3 linked regions of the Drosophila melanogaster genome follow. The protein of the gene in region 2 purifies or fractionates together with the protein of the main gene of each other region. This does not show direct contact. Each region holds a gene or a part of one and is shown on either strand. Other genes may lie near its edges.

Evidence for each region.
Region 1: the proteins of CG2004 (region 2) and CG8993 purify together in Drosophila melanogaster (affinity purification with mass spectrometry, with the first as the bait; one large-scale study listed by BioGRID). This does not show direct contact.
Region 3: the proteins of CG2004 (region 2) and CG7054 purify together in Drosophila melanogaster (affinity purification with mass spectrometry, with the first as the bait; one large-scale study listed by BioGRID). This does not show direct contact.

What each region holds. Positions count from the first base shown.
Region 1 is NT_037436.4:2,370,687-2,375,899, reverse strand, and holds CG8993 (uncharacterized protein), read right to left. Parts: upstream 3,702-5,213; 5' UTR 3,619-3,701; coding exon 3,437-3,618; intron 3,375-3,436; coding exon 3,128-3,374; 3' UTR 3,024-3,127; downstream 1-3,023. Other genes in the region: CG9004 (uncharacterized protein), read right to left, coding at 1-1,171, 1,225-2,104; mRpL23 (mitochondrial ribosomal protein L23), read left to right, coding at 2,478-2,771, 2,833-2,991; CG1317 (uncharacterized protein), read left to right, coding at 4,238-5,213.
Region 2 is NC_004354.4:8,708,841-8,718,386, forward strand, and holds CG2004 (uncharacterized protein), read right to left. Parts: upstream 6,085-9,546; 5' UTR 5,636-6,084; exon of another isoform or gene 5,566-5,635; intron 5,334-5,565; exon of another isoform or gene 5,296-5,333; 5' UTR 5,229-5,295; coding exon 4,759-5,228; intron 4,566-4,758; coding exon 3,758-4,565; 3' UTR 3,632-3,757; downstream 1-3,631. Other genes in the region: Hexo2 (hexosaminidase 2), read left to right, coding at 969-1,117, 1,735-3,272, 3,343-3,524; CG1785 (uncharacterized protein), read left to right, coding at 6,189-6,316, 6,382-6,555, 6,612-6,932, 6,995-7,411, 7,474-7,870; l(1)G0020 (lethal (1) G0020), read right to left, coding at 7,980-8,106, 8,247-9,216, 9,277-9,546.
Region 3 is NT_033777.3:22,463,206-22,468,961, reverse strand, and holds CG7054 (uncharacterized protein), read right to left. Parts: upstream 3,978-5,756; 5' UTR 3,688-3,977; coding exon 3,287-3,687; intron 3,226-3,286; coding exon 3,087-3,225; 3' UTR 3,024-3,086; downstream 1-3,023. Other genes in the region: CG5377 (uncharacterized protein), read left to right, coding at 980-1,816; Pebp1 (Phosphatidylethanolamine-binding protein 1), read right to left, coding at 2,341-2,871; AP-2mu (adaptor protein complex 2, mu subunit), read right to left, coding at 4,922-5,619, 5,676-5,756.

The DNA of each region.
Region 1 (5,213 bases), on a different chromosome or scaffold from region 2:
GCCACCGCTCGCTGGTCCTTCAGAGACAAATGCAGAATCTTCTCAAAGGCGTCCACATAATCGGCGGCGCTCATGATGATGCAGAAGATATTCCTCCTTTCGGCTGTGTTCATCTGCTGCTTTCTGGCCAGCTCCAGTAGCTGATCCGCAAAACCTCCGTTGGCAGACTTCGATGAGTTCTTATCCTGCTTTTGCTTGGCGGATCCCATCTCATCCAGATTTCCCGTCCAGGCAGAGCCCACAATCCACCATTTGCCCACTTTATCAGCACGCAGGAGGTCCTCCAGGGTTATGTTCAGAGTCACCACGTAGCGATCATTCTTCAGCATGGCCTTCAAACGCTTTCGCAGATTCTCCGCCAACTCGGGATCATACTGCGGCAGCTTTTGCATATTGTTGTTTTTGACTGCATTTAGAATATCGACCATGAAACGCAGGCGTGGATTCTCTTTCAGTTCCAGTGGGGCACTAGCAATTTGCGATTGAACTTTTTGCATCATGGTCTTAAAGGCCAGTGGATCGTCCTTGCGCAGCCGGAAGCCAATGGACTGGAAGATCAGCAAAAGGCACTCCACGCTCTTCTCGCAAAGCTGATCTGACAATTTGCCTATGAGCTCCATCAGCAAATTCAGCTCGTAGATCTTGAAGAGGTACATGTAGCAGAGCACCAGTACTAGGTTATTCAGCTGCTTATCCTCCACCTCCAGGGTAGCGATGTTCTTGACATAACCATCGAATAACTCCACAAAAGTCTGCAGGAAATGCGCTCCAATCTCGCTGCCAACCTGGGCATGTAGGTAGGCCAGCAGCACCATGTGTTCCTGTACCATTCGCTCGTTGGTTCGCGTGTAGCCGAGAAGGGCTTCTTGAATTAACTTGGTTAGTGTTTCGTTCATGTTGTAGCGGGAGTTTTTCATGTACAGCTCCTCGATGCCGGCGGCAATCTTGTGCAGATTCGCTTCTGACAAACGATTGAGCAGACCCTTGCATTGCTTTAGAAGGCGAGCTAGTATCTCTGCCTGTTTTTCACTTGATCCCGCGCTGGCTGCCATCAAAGCTCGCTGATGTGGCGGTATGTACTTTTGACCGGCGGCTGAGGCCTCGAGCTCCACGGGATCAGGCAGGATGTTTCCCTCGGCGTCGCGTTTGCGTCCGTAGATGTCCTCTTTAACTGTAATTAATTCGTTAATTAAATGAAAAACTCTAAACGATGAATGTACTCACTCTTAGGTGCATTCTCTTCCTGCTCCGAATCCTCCTCGCTTTGTTCTTCCTCTCCAGTTAGGTCTTCATCATCATCTTCACCCTCAGAGCCACTGTCATCTTCTGAGAAGTTATCCATGGGCTCATCCCTGTCCTCCTTATCCTCTTCCTCATCGCTCCACATTCCCGCCTCCTCCTTTTCTTGCTGCTCCTTCAGCTTTTTCTTACGTTCCTGCTTCTCCTCCCACTTCCGCTTCTCCTCCTCGTCATCCAGGACAAAGTCAAGCAGGTAGTCCAGGCCATCATTGAACATCTTCCGCACCAAGCGGTTTTTGTCCTTGGATTTGTTGAGCTTCAGCTTCTTTTCCAGCTTGTTGATCTCGCGATCATCCTCCTCGTTCTCTATGCGAAGTTGCTTGATTCGCTGCTTCTTGGACTTGCTCTCCAGTTCCTTTTGCTGGCGCAGTTCCTTCCGCCTGACCGCCTCTTCATCCTGTCTTTGGATGGCGCCTCCTGTCGTTTTCTTGACCTTTTTTCCCAGAGGTTCATAGACTTCCATCTTTTCCCTTGCGGGCAGCAGAGCATCCACCTCCGCATCGCTGAAATCCGAATCTATGGACTCGTCATCGTCGCTGTCTATTTCACCGGACAAAAGTTGCTCCTTGGGTATTTCATCTGGATTTATTATTTTGGGCTTCTTGCTCCGTTTCTTCTTCTTGTTTTTGCCCAGCTGCGACTGCGCTGCCAACGCCTCTGCCGCCGCCGCCACGCGCTGTGTTCCGTTAGTTTTGCCGGCGAAATAAAGTCGTTTATTCTGTTTTTTGAACTCCGACTTCTGTTTTCTCTGCTCCTTGCGAGTCAAAGGTTTAGCTTTCGCCTCCTTTTTCTTTATTTTTGCCATTTTAAACGGCCTTTACCAGAGATTTCAGCCGGACCGAATTTAAAAATTGTTGTGGTTGACAATCAGCTGTTTAAAACAAGTGTTGGACAACCCACGTGCTTTTACACGGGTGTAGGTAACAGTTCTTTGAGAGGAATCTAGATTTAGTGATATTATTTTTTAAAAGTGGTAAAAGTGTGGAATATTTTATAGTTACAGCGTAATAACTTAAATTAATATATACGTTAAGTTTTAGTTAACAATCTTATGCGACCCCCTTGCTACGCCTGTGTCCGCCCGAAACCTTTGGCCTTTTTTAGTGCATTTCATAAACGCACAACAATTAATTTAATTTTTGTATTCTTGAATTAGAATCTTAGATCCTGGCTAGATCATGTCCACGAGGTGGTATCCCATCTATCAGCGCGGCAATCCGCAGCTTCGCGTTTTCCTTCCCAACTTCTGGATGAAGCTAATCCGACCCACGGAGGAACAGCCACCCAATGTGGTCACTTTTTCGGTGTCCATGGAAATGACCAAGTACGATGTGCGTAACTATCTGGAGAAGATCTACAAGCTGCCGGTGGTGGATGTGCGTACTCGGATTGCCATGGGCGAGACCAAGAAGGATCAGACCTACGGCTACATCACCAAAAAAGACGACGTGAAGCTGGCTTATGTAACATTGGTATGGCCCACTACAAGCCCCTGATTCAATGGATATTTCCAATGATATTTGTGTATTCCAGCCCAGGGAGGAGTCCTTTGTCTTCCCCGACTTCTTTTCCGAAAAGGCTGAGAAGCAGGCCAAGGAGGAAAAGTCGCTGGATGAATCGAAAGCCGGTTTCCGCAGATTTCTGGACAGGAACAAGAAGCGACCCGGCACGCCGGGCTGGTTTTCCATTTAGTTTTTAGTGTGTAATCGTAGTACTTTTCGTTTCAACGGGTAAATAAACATTTATTTCGAAAGTCCGAATTAACCTAAAGCTCAGCTTTATTTGCGAGGAGGTCAACCTCCACTTTTTTTTTGGGATTTCTCAATTATTACTTGGCCTGTTTGACGGCGGCGGCAACCCAGGCCCGGATTTTGTCCTCGTCCTGGAGTCCCACCATGCGCTGCACCTCCTTGCCGTTCTGCAGCACCACTAGCACGGGCACGGCGGCCACATCGTAGTCCAGAGCCAGTTCGCTGTGCTCATCTATGTCCACCTTGGCCAGCTTGATGGAACCGGCCTGTTCGCCCACAATACTCTCGATGCGCGGGGTTAGCAGCTTGCAGGGATTGCACCAGCTGGTGGATTACAATATAAACATTAATTTGCCATGTCCTCAAATTGAAAATATAAAAATTACGTTGCGAAGAAGTCCACAATCACGGGCTGCTGGCTGTTCTTTACTTTCTTGTCAAAGTCCTCGGCGCTCTGGACTTTGAAGATCTCCTGTCGCGGCGCAGAAACTGACAGCATGCGAATTTGCTGGCCGCTAGCCAGGCGACGCGTCGTCTGTCCCAGAATGTTAATAATCTGTCGCTGCATGGCTTATTTTCTACAATTTCTCAGTGCAAAAAGTTCAGCGATTGATTGCAAAATAATGACAAGAGAATCAGAACAACAACAATGAGTGTGGTGGGGTTGCCAGATGGATTGGTATTGCCTAATGATGTGTGCACACACTGTTTCATTAACTGTTACTTCCCGGTCATGATAATTTTGTTTTATATTATTTAAGTTAAAAACTTATATTTATTAACCATAACTATGTAATCTTTTTTAATTTTCAATTTATGATTAAAAAATGAATAACGATATTTCGTTCTCTCAATCTATCGAACTAGTTGGCATCTCCGTTGAGAAAATAATCAGCAATTTCATGGTGTGCACACATTGGCTCTCCTTTTTTTGAGAAGTAGTCTTGTTTTGTTTTGTCGTAATAATATCCCAACTTTTCGGTTAAAATTCAAGTGTTACAATCGCATTACGGTCCGTAATCATCGAAAGGTTAATTGGCGCACATAAAAGGCGGGTATAATCGTCTTAAAACCCCCGTACCCTCGGGTCAATTACGGAAATTGTCCAGCGAATTTCGCAAATGACCAGTGGAACTTTAGTAATTCAGTCAAACTGAAGACCCAGGATCCGGGAAAAAGTTATCAGTATGGACGACCTGTCGCAGGGCGACATTTGCCGCGTGTGCAGATGCGAGGCACAGCCGGATAGGCCTCTTTTCTACCCGTGCATCTGCACTGGATCGATCAAGTACATTCATCAGGACTGCCTGATGTTATGGATGCGCTACTCGCACAAGGAATACTGCGAGCTGTGCAGCTACAGCTTCAGCTTTCAGCCCATCTATGCTCCGGATATGCCGCGAGTCCTGCCGATAAAGGATGTCCTTGTGGGACTGATGTCCGCCGTTTTGGAGGGCGCTCGCTGCTGGCTTCATTACACCCTGGTCGGTTTGGCCTGGTTCGGAGTGGTGCCGCTGTCTGCCTACAGGACCTATCGGTACCTCTTCCGGGCGAGCTCCTTCGATATGATTCTCACGCTGCCCTTTGACATCTTCTCCGTTGAAAACCTGGCATCGGATGCCTTTCGGGGCTGTTTTGTGGTCACATGCACACTTTTGTCCTTCATAGGATTGGTCTGGCTGCGCGAGCAGATCCTGCATGGCGGCGGACCCGATTGGCTGGAGCGGGACGATGCCCCTCTACAGGCAGCGGCTGCTAATCCTGCGCCTGATCCCGCCGCCGAGGCAGCTCCACAGCCTCAGGACGACAACAACAATGCCGACGACAATGAAGCGCCGGCTCCAGCGGACAACGATGGGCAGGATGCCCAGGCCCAGGATGCCGCACCAGCGGCTGCAGCTCCCGTCGTGGACGCCGATGCCGATGAGCAGAATTGGAATCCCATGGAGTGGGATCGGGCTGCCGAGGAGCTTACCTGGGAACGCCTGCTCGGACTCGATGGCTCGCTAGTTTTTCTGGAGCACGTCTTCTGGATCATCTCACTGAACACCATGTTCATCTTCACCTTCGCCTTTTGTCCCTACTGCGTGGGCAACTTCATTCTGAGCTCCATGGATCTTTTGCAGCCCGAGAAACCACTGCTACACTTTCACGGCCTGATTA
Region 2 (9,546 bases):
TGAGTTGTTTATCTATCTACTATAAACAATAATTTTTTGATTATTTGTGTTAACTGAAAATTGATACACCGTTCTATCTTGTTTATAATTAACTGCTGCTTTGTTTACCTCGAGGGTGGAAACTCATTTGAATAATATTTTCGAGATGTATTATTGGAATCTTAAATGTTGCAAGTTCAATTGGCATATACTACATGTATCTACATACTACACATGTGTGTATGTACTTATGTTTAATTAATATGCTGGCTTTCTTAACTGCATTTGTGCCGAAATTTGTGAAGAATTAGGTTGATTTAGTTAAATTCTTTTTGGTGTTTTGCACGCTGGCAGTTTTCAAGCCCACGATTATTGTTGTTGCTGCGGTTCTTGCACCGCATATACATACATACATGCATACATATGTATGTATATATTTTCCATTTTATCACTCACCCCACAACTTCCGTATGTGGGCCACTCTCCAGGGGGTGGGGTTTGCTTCAAAGAGTGGGAGATATGCTGATTTCACAGCACTACACAGGCAGAAAAGACGTGGCACTTCATGCATCAAGTGTCCTGTTAGTATAGGGAAGCTCATTTAATAAAGCTGTAAAATCTAATTGCCAAGCATTAATGTGGAGTAGCAGTGTAATGCAAGGACTTGGCGTTTCTCGCAGTGTAATTTCAATCCGCGCTCTCTCGCGCTCTTGCACTCTCTTCAATTCAATTGACGATAAGCTCGACTTGTTATTGCTGTTGTTGCGGCCGCTACTGCGCTGCAAGTGAAATTTCGCTGGATTTATTTTATTCGCTTTTTCGATTTCAGCTCTTCAGTGTTGTTGTGCTCGGCGAGCGGAGCGGGTGGGCGGCCGGTTGAAAATAGCGAATACACCGTACACACCCCCCTAACACAACAAATATAGCAAATACCGAACAGAAATTATAAAAGCGAGCGGCGCAGCCAAAGAAGCCGTTAGAAAGAAACGATGCGGTTCAGCGGCTACAATCGTTATCAGTGCTTTTGCTCTGCTGTTGGATCGCTGCTGCTATTATCCCTATTATCCTTCGCGGTCGGCGCTGCGCTGACGCGGGCAGATGACGTCGGCAGCGACGCCGACGCCGGCAGCGCCAGCAGGTTTGTGTCTTTGCTTCATAAAGGAAATCAGTGCAACAAGTGCAAGTTTTTTTTTAAATACATGTTTTGTTTTGGAAGTATAACAATTTTTGCTAACAAAATGCAGTGAAAATACAAAAAACTGACTGTTCTTTATTTTCAATGAAATTTCAAGTGTTATATGCGCTCAGCAGACTAGTGAAAAAAAGTCCAAAAAGTCCACTACTTTTAAATATATTAAAGGAAATCTATTCATTCTACAAAAGAGAACTTTAAAAAACTGCCAACGGATAACAAATGGTTGGTGTCTATGCTCAGCAGGATATCCAATATCTCCTCAAATAACTGAGAGCAACAAGTGAAATCAGTCTTAAAAACTAGAAAATAAAACAAACAGAAGAAAACAGGTGAAAATTTAACTGTGCCAAATGCATTTACATGTTAATTTGCATTCGCTCCAAGTGCAATTTTCGTAAAGGGAACAAGTGCAAAAGGCAAAGCGACAGAATAAGAACTACTTTCTATGCAGCTGCATATATTATTGAAAAGAATTTGCAATAAATAAAGTGAAATCTGCTTTATGTATCTAAATATATATGTACTTAGCTTTATTATAGCAATATCTTCCGAATTTCCAGGAAATGGCTGTGCAGCCGGACGGATATCTGCACCGCGGAGGGCGAGATGGTGGCCGGACTGCAGTACGCGCCGGAGATCTTCGAGAGCCAGCGGGATTGCCGACTGTCGTGCGGCAAGTACGGAGCCATCTGGCCCATGCCCACCGGCAAGGAGTGCACCATATCGCACAGGCGGGTACGATTCGATCCGTGGAAGGTGCGTTTCCATGTTGTGGCGCCCGGCGAGGCGGCCACCCAGTTTCTCAGGGAGACGAACCGGCTGTTCGTCTCGAATCTGCTGAAGGAGTGCATACGAAACTGCACGCTGGAGACCAGCAAGCAGATTCTGGTCAGATCCACGGTGGCCAACGAGAGCCTCGTTCTGGACTGGCCCACCGACGAGAGCTACGCCCTGGTGGTGCGAACCACTGAAACGGCCACCTTTGTGGACATCCAAGCGACGACGGTGTACGGTGCACGTCATGCCTTCGAGACGCTGAGCAACCTGGTCACCGGCAGCCTGTCCAATGGCCTGCTGATGGTCACCACGGCCAACATCACCGATCGTCCGGCCTTTTCGCATCGCGGCGTCCTTCTGGATACGGCCCGTAACTTTGTGCCGCTCAAGTTTATACGCAGCACCTTGGATGCGATGGCGGCCAGTAAGCTGAATGTGCTCCACTGGCATGTGGTGGACACGCACAGTTTTCCGCTGGAGATCACCAGGGTGCCGGAGATGCAGCGTTACGGAGCGTACTCCTCATCGCAGACGTACTCGCGCCAGGATGCACTGAATCTTGTGAAATATGCCCGACTGCGGGGCATACGGATACTGATCGAGATCGATGGACCCTCGCATGCGGGCAATGGCTGGCAATGGGGTCCTGCCGCCGGACTGGGCAACATGTCCGTGTGCCTGAATCAATCGCCCTGGAGGAGATTCTGTGTACAGCCACCGTGCGGCCAACTGAATCCCCTGAACGATCATATGTACGCAGTGCTCAAGGAGATCTTCGAGGACGTAGCCGAGGTGGGCGCTCCCGAGGAGACCCTGCACATGGGCGGCGACGAGGTGTTCCTTCCCTGCTGGAATAACACCGACGAGATTCGGGATGGGATGCGGGCACGTGGCTACGATCTCAGCGAGCAGAGCTTCCTGCGGCTGTGGTCGCAATTCCATCAGCGGAACCTCAATGCATGGGACGAGATTAACGAGCGTATGTATCCGGGCATCAAGGAGCCGAAGTCGGTGATCATCTGGTCCAGTCACCTCACCAATCCCCGGTACATCGAGACCTACCTGCCCAAGGAGCGGTTCATAATCCAGACATGGGTGGAGTCACAGGATGCCCTCAATCGGGAGCTATTGCAGCGAGGCTACCGACTGATTGTGTCCACGAAGAATGCCTGGTACCTGGATCACGGCTTCTGGGGCAGCACATCGTACTACAACTGGCGCACCGTGTACTCCAGTGGCATGCCCGTTGGTCGCAGCAAGGATCAGGTTCTCGGCGGTGAGGTGTGCATGTGGAGCGAGTATGTGGATCAGAACTCACTGGGTATGTAAACGCTAGGGAACCAAACGGTGAACCAAACCCATTTAATTAAACCCAATCCAATCCCCTACAGAATCCCGAATCTGGCCGCGAGCTGGAGCAGCAGCCGAGCGAATGTGGTCAAATCCAAAGTCTTCAGCCCTGTTGGCCCAAAGAAGATTCTACCGCTACCGGGAGCGACTCCTGGCGCGCGGAATCCATGCGGATGCAGTTATTCCGCACTGGTGCGTCCTCCACGAAGGACAGTGCCTCTAAATCGGTCGTTCCGAACCTAGTTTTAGCACCAGCACATACCATGTACATACCTTTCAAACTATGTTATTTTATTCATCAGTTATTGCCCATAAAGATCTGTTTTTAATCCAATCCAAAATGTGTTTATAATATGCTTTTAATTATCTGGAGTTACGTTTTGTACATTATATGGGTTACAATTACGAAATACCCAATACTATATGAATTCGATTTTATCATAGAAATTAATGAGCTCACTTAATGTAGCCCTGATCGATGGCGTGCTTGAAGATATCAGCCAGTCGCTGCTGCTTGGCGGACTCCTTGAAGGGTGTGATATTCCAGATGTCGGTGAGAATGGCGTTCTCCTTGATTCCATCCAGATCGGCCACCTCATCGTCCTCCATCATCGTCATCGGCAGCGATTCGATGCCCATGCCGCAACCAAAGCGACCAAAGTTCTTTAGCTCCTCTTGCAGTGATTCCCAGGAGATGATAGACTCTGCATTGCCACCGAGATCCTGAATCAAATCCTGGGCGCTCTCCAGGTAGGCGCGGAGCAGCTCATCGTAGTGCTGTTCCCTCAGCTCCTGGCTAGTGCAGGAATAGATGAAGAAGCTCAGGTCGAGGGCCAAGGAGGAGCACCTGGCCAACTGGAAATCAATGATGATGATCTCCTCCGATTGTCCCCGTTCGTTGTACTTGGTCAGAAAGTTGGGCGTCCAGCAATCGCCGTGCCCGAAGACACTCAACTTGGAGCGAGTGGACACCAGATTGATCAGATCATCGAACAGCGGCGGCTGCAGGAAGTTTGTGGCCACAGTCTCGTATTTGCTATTCGGATAGATCTGCTTGACGGCGTCCGTGGCCACATTCTCCGCCAGCAGGAGGAAGCCCGTGTACCACTCGCGGGTGTGTTCGCCATAGTAGGTCTCCTCCAGCGAACCAGCAGCCTTCTCGAAGTTCTTGCTATCCAGGGCATTGAAGGCCAGGGCCACGCCATGGAAACGACCCAGGGTCCGCATCGTCAGCAGGGCATCTTCCAGCGAAATGTAGTCTTGACTGCAAGGTAAGGTAAGGTAATTGAAGTAAATGTAGTTGTATAATTTATAATCAATAAGGGTTAATGGTATTAATGGTAGATATTGAAATAATCTATTGTATGGGAAGTCGACAGATAGTGTAGTTACACTTATTTATAGAAAGCTGATTTCATACGAAAGGGGTGGAGGAGGAGGAGGAGGAATAAACTAACCGTACAGGTGCCCTGTAGCCCCTGGGACCCACATCCTCCAGGGCGATGAAATCGTTGACGCCATCGCACAGGCTGGCCAGGCAGCGGGGGTACTCCACGAAGGGCTTCTTAGGCGCGGGCTGGCGGGACTTCTGGAATGCCTCGATGGCCGGCAACACCTTGGTGTAGAAGTTGATCTCGTTGCGGAAGAATATCACCGAACGGAAGAGTCGCCGACGGTGCAGATTGTCGGGCATGGCCTTCACGATCACACTGATCTCTAGTTGCTTCTCATCCTGGCCCTCTTCCGCCTCCTTGACGCCGTAGATGGTGATGCGGAAGACACGGCTCAGATAGGCGTCGCCCTTCTTGCCACTTGGGCCAAATTTGTACGAGGTGTGCCGGGTGCCGCCCGCGTTTCGGATGATCTCGTCCAGCGTCGCCTCCGAGAATTTGGCCGAAATGTCCGCGAAGCTGGGAAAGGTGCTCATCGTGGTGGTGTCCAAAGTGTGTCTGTCGCTGCCGGAGATCGCGATCTGCTATTTGTAACGAGTTAAACTATTTCAGCGCGGCGATAACACGGCGTAATCGGTGAAAAACAAAAATAGAAAAAAAGAAAATAGCAATTGGAAAAAAAACGTGAGCAGGCTGCTTGCTGATGCTTGAATACCCTCGCATTTATATGATTATCTTTTTAATTAATTATTAATTAATACTGCCTTAAGAGCTATAGGATATAGACATTAGATCGTTCGGAATGTCTAAGTGATCACACCCTTTGCAAGAGTATCCAAATACAAATAAAAATAAGCGGACAAGTTTGTTTACCGCGTTTTGTTTGGTACACGTCAGCCGCGTCTACGCCTCCGTCGCAGTCGACGTCGCTGCTCTCACTTACCGGCGTTTTTCACACTTTACACACGTGCGTGAGTTTTCGGTGACGTTTATGGTTTTGCCCTTTTGACCGCCAGCTCGTCGCAAGTGCTACTGATTTTGATTCGGATCGCGGGTGGCTATAAATTCGAAATGAATTACAATGCACAGCAGCAGCAGCTCAGTTGGTCACGCACACAAATGTAGGCACATGCACGCACACAGGTGTTTTGAATCCGAGTGAAGGCAGGGTTAGAGATGCGCAAGCCAGTTTCCAGCTGGTAAAGAGCTAGCGTCGCTTTTAAGCTACTTTCCTGTTGCTCCATTGATAGAAATTAATCCAAGCTATTAAAACCAAATGCATATAGTAATAGTTTAATTCATATTTATATATAGAGTTCCAACTCTAGTTTTGTAGCTTAGCACACTTGATTTTTGCCATCTCTAAGCAGCTGACAGCAACTAGCTGCCAGTGTTGGCAAACGACGCCAAACGTGCTGGAAAGCCTGTGCAGATTGCACGTGTGCCGCTCAACATTTGTTTTTTGTACTTTGATAATTTCCAAATAATCCGGAGAAATGACGGCCGTAGAGCCAGCGACAAAGAAGAAGCGCATCTCGAAGAAGAACAAATCGGCATGGCGCAAAACAGACATCCAGGATGTCGAGCAGTTCCTCGAAGATCAGCGCCAGGAGGAGCGCGTTGGGTGAGTTAGCGGGTAAACAATGTGGCCATCCGGAATCATTCATTTGCGTACTGCGCTTATTACAGAACGTTCGCGGATAAACAGGATGAGGATCTGTTCGTTGTGGACTCCAGCCTCCCGAAGACCAAGGCCACCGTTCTGAGTGTGAAGCAAAAGCGGAAGCTGAATGCCAAGAAGCCCATGCGCAGTTACCAGGCTTTGGAGAACACATCCAAAGTCCAAGATCCCATTGCCAAGCGGTGAGTTTGCAGCATATCCCTGACAGGCGATCTCATTTATCTTGAAATCCCTGCAGCAACCATGTGCGCCAGAAGAAGAACGGACGTAACATCGAGCTGGAGGTGTGCAATCCAACCAAGCCGCGCCATCGCCAGGCCAACAGCGATCGAGCTCAGTACTACGTAAAACTGGAACAGCGTCTGGCCGACAAGAAGAACAAGAAGCTTGATGTCGAGAAGGACATCTGGCAGGAGGTGGATTTTCGCGACGAGATTCCTGGACTCAAGGACGAGAAGGGTTGGATCAGTCGCGAACTGGCACTGCACACAGCTGGAAATATTGGCAAGAAGGTGGTGAAAACTCACGCTAGTCTGCACCACAAAACCACCAAAGCCAAGTGAGCACACTTTGCTGGGCCTTAAGCAGTCGGGTTATTATTGATTGTAATATGTCTTTTAGGAAATTCGAACTCCCGCATCCGGGCATGAGCTACAATCCCGCACCCGAGGATCATCAGGCGCTTATTGATCAGGTGGTGGAACGCGAGGAGGGCATCATTAAGAAGGAACAGCACCTTAAGCGCGTGACCACCAGCATGTTCTCCAAGGTGACGCCCGAGGAGAGAGATCGTCGTCGCCTAAATGAAATGAGCCAAGGCATGGACGAGGAGGAGGGTAGTGAGCTCGATGAGGATGTCCAAACGAATGGGAAGAAAAAGGAGGACGATGATGAAAAGCCATATCACACAATCAACGCTCCCGTGGAGAACAAAAAGAAGAGCAAGCAGGCTCGCCGCAACGAGCTCAAGCAAAAGGAGCTGGCGCGTCAAACAGAGCTCAAGAGGAAGCTCAAGCAACAGACGGCTGACCTGATACGGTAAGTTTCTAACTGATGGCGTTGTGGTCCATCTCTAATCTCTATTGTGTTTCTTCATTCAGCATCAAATCGATTCGCCACGAGCTAGACGATGAGGAGGAGGACCTGAATGATCTAAAGAAGCGCCGCAAGCAGCGCGCCGAGAAGGCCAAGTTTGAGCCGAAACGCCTGGGGCGTCACAAGTTCGAGGAGCCAGACCTAGACGTAAATCTGCCCGAGGATATCGCCGGAAATCTGCGCAACGTGAAGACTGAGAGCAGTCTGCTGAAGGACCGCTTCCACACGCTGCAACGCAACAATATGTTGCCCACGACAAAGCTCGTCAGCCGCAAGAAGTCCAAGGTCAAGCGCTTCGAGCGCAACTCCCACAAGGAGCCGGGCGTTAGCTATAATGACCTCAAGGAACGGCGCAGGGCGGCCGCCGCTGCAGCCAAGGCTACTGCCAATATCAAGATATAGTTCAGTTATTAGGTCTCTTTATTTTTAACGGAGCTTACAACAATATGTACTTTTCTATAGAATTAAAATCCACATTCTTTTTCCCCCCAAACGAAAAAAATTATGAACTCTAGATCAGGGACTTGCCCTGACTGCGTCTCTGTTTCGGATTGTTCTTCTTTTTCTTCTTGGACAGCGGAGCTGCCAGGTCGCCATCCTCACGCGTCTCGATTGGTCCATCCAGTCGCTTTACGCCACTGAAACGAAAGAGAGGCAAATACGAAATAAGTTATATTTTTTTTAACTGAGTGATGTTTATAATAAAACGAAACTGGAGACAAATAAATAAACGTGGTTATGTATTAAGCACATTATTAAAAAAAATAGGCGCACCTACCTCTTGACGGAGAGCAGCCCGCTGCCACCGCCTGTTCCGTTTGTTTCCAGCGCCTTGGACCAATCCTCTTCGGTGCCCTTGATTTGGAATTCGTCCAGCTGCTCGGCCTTCAGGCGCTTCAGCTCCTTGCGCTGCTGCTTGCTCAGCTTCTGAGCGGTTTGATCCAGCTCCTTGTCGAGGGACAGAGTCAGCGGTTGCAGTTCCTCGCCCTTGGACAGATCCGCCTCCCGCAGCATGCCGCCTTCGATATGCTCCTCCAGTACCGACCGGAAGCACTGATTGCACCGTTTCATGGCATCGAAAAATTTCGCCAACAACTGGTTACCCGGCATATTCAGCTCCAGACCCAACGCATCCACAGTCTTGCCCTGCACGCCCAGAGCCAAAAGGATGCCCTGCTGCACCAGGTCAAGCTGCAGACCATCGATCCTGCCCTGAAAATACAGCTGGGCAATGTCCGTGAGCAGATCGATGATTAGACGAAACTCGGACTGCTGGCGGGCGTAGCTCTCCAAGCGCTGCAGATCGTGCGGCAAGAAGTAAACATCCAGCATTGGCTTATCGAGTACTTTCAGTGCACTACCTTCCGTGTCCACGGACTTGTTCTTCAGCAAGGCCAAACAGAGTTTCGTCTCGAATTCCCTGAACGTCTTTCCCATCAACTTGAGGACTCTCCTGCGGAAGTCCTGGTAGTACAGGCCCAGCCAGGGCGTGGCATTGGGCGTGTGCAGCATAATGCAGCTATGCTCGGCGGTCAGTTCGTTAGATTTCTGGCTCAAATAGACGGGCACAAAGCCGGCGTTCTTCCAGAACTTCAGCAGCTCGGTGGTGAGGCCATAGGATGTGCCAATATAGTCCACGTGTTCCGGGACACGTTCGTGCAAGCGCTGCAGAAGTGTGGGTATACGACTACGTGGCCGGATTTGTTCCTTCAGCAGACTAAGTTCCTCCTCCTCCACTTCCTCGATACCTATGCAAAATTTAAAGTATTATGTAGTGCATAATAAACCATTGGCGTGCGTGCACTCACCTTTACCAGCATCCTTGCTGGCAACTGGACCGTCCTCCAGATTAGTGTGCTTCCTTGCATAGTAGTCCTTGAGCAGCTGAATGGCCCGCTTGCCATAGCCCATCCTCTGGTAATTCGGATGCGTGGCTACCCTCACAATGCGAACGCCACACAGCTTGGGAAAATCTCGATCGCCATACTGCTCGGCTACGTTCCAGGGAATCAGATCGCCCGCCGCCTTCTTGCCCCTGCCCAGGGAATCGCTGATGCTCTGGGCGGAGATCTGACCCT
Region 3 (5,756 bases), on a different chromosome or scaffold from region 2:
CACACTCACACACACCAACTCAAGCTGACACCCCCCCGGGCTCACTATCTCCGAGACGACCCGTGTAAATTCCTTGACATTTACTACGCAACTTCGACATCTCGGAGTCGAATTCGATTTGCATTTGCATTGGCAGTGGAATGTGATGTCCCTTACTCTCGATTGTGGGTGTATGTCCTGCCTCTGTCAAATCCCATCACCCTGCTCCTTCGTCCTAGGAGAGCAATTGCAAGGCCGTCGCCTCCATTAATCGTCGTCGCAGTCCAGGCGAACACATTAATTTGAGCACACGAATCACGCACTGACCATTACAGCAGGGACCAGGATCCTGCTATTAAGCACTTACGGTTTTTAATAATATTTTAACGCACGCTAAAGGCTAAACAAATGCCAGCACGTGCTGTCCATTGTCCTTCGGAGTCGTGACGTTCAAGTGGACTAACAAGGACTAAGATTGGGAATGCCAAAAGCTGGGGGAAGAGCGAAAAGCTTAAAATCAAACTGAGCGGCAGCTCTTGAACTTTCAAGGGCTTTTAAACTACCATTATTTTAAAATCTGTGGAGAGTTCGGCATTGTCAAGTAATATTCTTCAAAATGAATGGAAAAATCTTTTAAATTTCAGGAACATTCTTAAAAATGCAAGTGCATCACCCAATGCCTAAATATCAATATGAAAATATTTTTCAAATTATTAAAAAATTAACGATTCTTTTAAAATTAGTTTTTTGGTATATTTACTTTTGATTTAACGGTATATGGCATCATCGCACCTACAGCCACACTAATTCGATCGTTTACTTACAGCTGTTCTTATCAATCAGCTGTTATCAACGGATCTTTATCAAGTGCACTTTACAAGGCGTCGTGTGTAAAGATTAGAATTTGCCAAATATTCCTCTCTGGACATCTGAAGAGCCCTTGAGAAGCAGCTAAGTTTGTTGCCATACTCCAAAATCCCCGTTAGATCCCGCTTACGTAATGCTGGGCAATCTGTGCCGGCTTGTGGGTGCCCGTTCCCCGATCACCAGGCGCTTGCTGCACACGGAGCGGAAAGTTCGTGTGAATGGCTCAGATTTGAACATTGTGGAGAGCGGCAGTGGGGAGCGGAGTCTACTCCTGATGCCGGGAGCACTGGGTTCCTCGTGGACCGACTTTAGGCCCCAGATCGAGCAGCTGCCGAAACTGCTGCCGGGTCACACCATCATCGCCTGGGATCCGCCGGGTTATGGCAAATCAGTGCCGCCGCAGCGCAAGTTCGGCCTTGAATTCTTTCGGGAGGATGCCCAGGCAGCCGTGGATTTGATGCGTGCCCTGGACAGACCACGCTTCTCCATTTTGGGCTGGAGCGATGGGGGCATCACGGCGCTCATAGTCGCAGGTCGCCATGCGGAAGCTGTGGATCGCCTAGCAATCTGGGGAGCAGGTGCCTACTTGAACGCTGACGAAGTCAAGGCTCTTAAGAACATTCGGGATGTGGCCAAGTGGTCGCCGCGCATGCGTGAGCCCATGGAAAAGGTTTACGGCGTCGAAAGATTCCCCCAATTGTGGGCCGAATGGGTGGACGCCGCATGCGCCTTCTATGACCAACGGGATGGAGACTTCTGTCGCACCGAAGTTGAGAAAATAAAGATACCTACTTTTATACTCCACGGAAAGAAGGATCCCATGATAGCAGCGGAGCACATTCCTTGGCTGAGGGAGCGTTTGCCTCATGCGGAATATTATGAGTTCCCCGAGGGGAAGCATAATATCCATTTACGTTATGCGGAGGAGTTTAACAAACTGGTGGCCGATTTCTTTAACAAAAATAACTAGATTAACCAATATATTTAAGCTTTCATGGATCCAAACTCATTACTTGTTTAACAATGGTAACTTGAAGTTGGATGGATATTCGTTATATGTGAAAGCAGTTATCAGAAATGAGCATGCAGGTGTTCAAAGTTCGAATTTTAAAAGGAAACTGATAGTTTTGATGAATCAAATTCATATCTAAGTTAAAGAATATTGTTATCTATTCAATGAATCATTTCGAAATAAATTGAAAAATAACCATATCTCCTAACTTAGCGAAAGGGAAATAAATGATTAATTATAAACATTTCTTTCTCTCGCTTTTATAAACTTAACTTCAAAGAAAGATATCAAAGCCTCGGGCAAGTTTAAATTAATTCCGGAAATGTTATCAAAAGTAATTCTTATAAAAATATACTTCAGCTGCTTATGGAAATCGCATAGCAAAAGACCCGCCCACAAGCATGTATGAGATAACTTTTATGAGAACTAGTACATATTTAATATTTATTATTTCACAGAGAGCTGATCAGTTGGTGGCCAGATTACTGGACCGTCTCGATGAGGGTCTTCACGTAGTCATCGTATTGGGCCTGGAAGAAGTTGCCGGCCACGGGACCGCCGAAGCTGTACTTCTGGATGTAGTCGCGGGCCTTGACGTTGATGCGGCCAGTGCGGCTGGTCTTGGACACGAACTTCTCGGTGGTGATCTTGTCGTTCTGCTTGAACACCAGGAAGACGTAGCGGTGCAGGCCGGTTCCCTCGCGGGGTCCAGCACCGATGTACTCGGCGATGGTCTGGCCCTCGGACACCTTGTTGCCGGGAATGTTGATCACCAGCCAGTGGAGCAGCTCACGGAACTTGGGGTCCTCGCGGCTGGGTGCGTCGGGGTCCACCAACAGGATGGTGTACAGGGAGTTGGGCTCGGCATCGAAGACGACAGTGGGCTGGTCCTTCACCTGAGTGGGAGTCAGCTCCTTGCCCAGCTCAACCTGAACGCCGGAAGGATAGGTGATGGTGGCCTTGGAGGCGGGCTTGACGTCGATGATGTCGGGAATAATGCCGGCGGTGTCCATGTTAGCTGGTAGTTCTGTTGCTTCTGCTCGGTGTAGCGTTAGCGAGTTGACTCTGGCCCGGATCCCTGATGTCTGGCCTTTTATCGACGGAGTCCGCCGCCTAATCAGTTCCGTGCACTTTTCAGTTAATACCCCAACGCATAGATAGCGAGATAAGCAATTGGTTAAACTTTATTGACGGGGAATTGAAAACCCTGCATGATATATGCACAAATCTAGCCTACGATCGTTTTATTCCGAATTGGCACATAGTCATCATACTGGGCCTGGTAATAATTGGCGGCAATGGGCTCGCCCAATCCATGTTTGGCGGCAAAGTCCCGGGCGTTGAAGTTCAAACGGCCTGTGCGAGTACTGTGAATGGGAATTGATCAGTGTCACAGTAAACTGATAAATATCTTAATATATATCATACGTATTGGATATAGTGGGCGTCTCCTCGATCTTGTTCTCCTGGCGATAGAGGAGGAAAATATACCGATGCAGGCCAGTGTCCTTGGGCGGTCCAGATCCAACGTAGTCCGCTAGGGAGTGGCCACCAGAAGGATTCTCATTGCTGCCGGGAATGTTGACCACAGACCAGTGCAGAATCTCACGGTACTTGGGATCTTGACGAGTCGGTGCATCGGGATCCACCATGAGCAGGGTCAATAGGTTGGACTTTCCCTCCAGCCCAGACCAGCTGACAATCGGTTGGTCCTTCACCTGGGTGGGGGTTAGCTCGTTGCCCTGCTTGACCTCCAAGTCATCGCCATAGATGACCTTAATGGTGCCAGCGGGAACCGCATCCAGCACATCGGGTACTATGTCATCCATGTTACGTGTAGCGTGTCAGCCCAAAAAGATGATAATACGGTTTTTTTTTCGTGGCGTTATCACTCTGCTGACCAAGCCAGCTGGGTGATAACAAAGCAAAAGCTTCACTCTGATTCAGCGGATATCTACGGATTTATTAAAATTTCCAGTCCAATTAATTAGTATCTGGATGGCGAAACCAGTCAAGGCTATCCAGCGCTGGCAACAGCTAACACCTAGAAATAATAGTTTAATGGACACAGCGGAATAAACTTTATCGCAGTGGGTGAACTGATTGGACAATGTTGATTTCTAGCGCCGATGGAAAATTGTGAAAAGCCCCTTCCACGATAAGCAAGCTTTTATGCCAACTGGCATTTTTAGGCCCTTTTTTGCTTTCCCAAAACGCAAAGATCACTTCCATTGGTGCGATGATTCATGGCTAGAAACTAGTTTTCACTTCGTTGAACATCATCAATAATTGTGACGTTAATTTCAGGATTTAGCTGATCTTGAACCAATGTGCACACGTGATAGCGAAGACAGCACTTGTGGGCTGATCATAAAGTTGTATATCACCCATTTATGAGGTTGTAATCGTACCTTTCCGTTCTATTGTTGGGCATATCAGTTCGATATAGGGAAAAGCCATATAACGATACCCTTTCACCAATGAGAAACACATCATTTTTAGTATATATCATGCTAATTTATTTATTAAACAATTCGAATATTATTAACACTTGAATATCAATATTGATAGCGCTGACAGAGTTTTGGTCTATTAAATACGCTTAGTTGCATTTATCGCCTTTGTTCTTTGCACAATGAAAATAATGATTAAATATACATATATATATATATTTATAATACGATAATACAAATAATAATTAGAGTTGTGAAACGTGAGCGTGAGATTTGTGAGACGTCCCGCGACGCATATAAAAACAACATAGTTTACATTTACATAGTAGGGTAAATCATAGTACCTAGTAGTGGTATGTCTATGGGGAACACGCCCCGCCCGCATAACCAGTGCTCGCGGAGGCAGTGTGTGCGGTATACGGCATAGGGTGTCCGGGGTGGATCCGCTACTCGGGCGTCCTCCGGACTTGCTGGAACTAATCTTGGAATACATAAGCTGCTGGTTCAATTTGATTGAGGAAATACCAATAGATGCGGTAACACTTTCTCCATTCATCTCGTTAAATTCAATTGTGATAATCTTGCTCCGTGATGGGGATGCTTGGGCGCCCTAGCAGCGCGTCTCATACAAGCCACTGCGTCCGATGTAGCGCACCCATTTGACCACATCGTGGTCGGAGTAGTTGAGCTTGGGCTCGAACACCTTCAGGTAGCGTACCTTGAAGCCGGACGGCGCGAATGGCACCTCAAAGTTCATGGAGATGGGCGGCCGAGTCCACTTCTTCTTGGTGTCCGTCTCCAAAAGTTCGATTTCCGCGGACAGCTGTGTCTCCTTCATGCCCGCCATGCGCTTAATCTTCCACACGATCGCGTTCTCCGAAGCCTTATATTTGGCTTTGCCCTTTAGGCAGATGAGCTGCACGCCCGATGTATTGAGCGGGGTTGGTATCTTCACCTCGATCTTTTGGCCCAGCAGTGAGGGCTTAAAGTTGGACTTCAGCACAACCTTAACCTCCATCTTGGTGCGGCCCACCTCCCGCACCAGCGGGATGACTCGGAATGGCAGCGAAATGTCTTTGGTGGTACGGTAACGCATCAGCTCGAACTCCCCGTCCGGCGGGATGAAGCTGATCGAATGCTCCGTCTCGAATTTGCTTAGCTTGACGCACTGATGGAACTGGCAGTCATCGATGACCACGACGGGCTTGCCGGAGCGTGAGGTTTCCGCCTCTGAATTTCCGGAGAGACCGCGTCCCTTAGACTCCATCACGATCTTGTCGTTAATCCCGAACTTGCACTCGGGCATGCCTACAACATGGCGATTATTAAAAGGAATAATGTCTAGATTATTTATGCTAACTTACCCGACAAATACGACTTCATTACCACCTTGCCGGCCACGTGGGCAGACAAAACCTGACCCTGCGGGCTCATCAGCAGGTTCA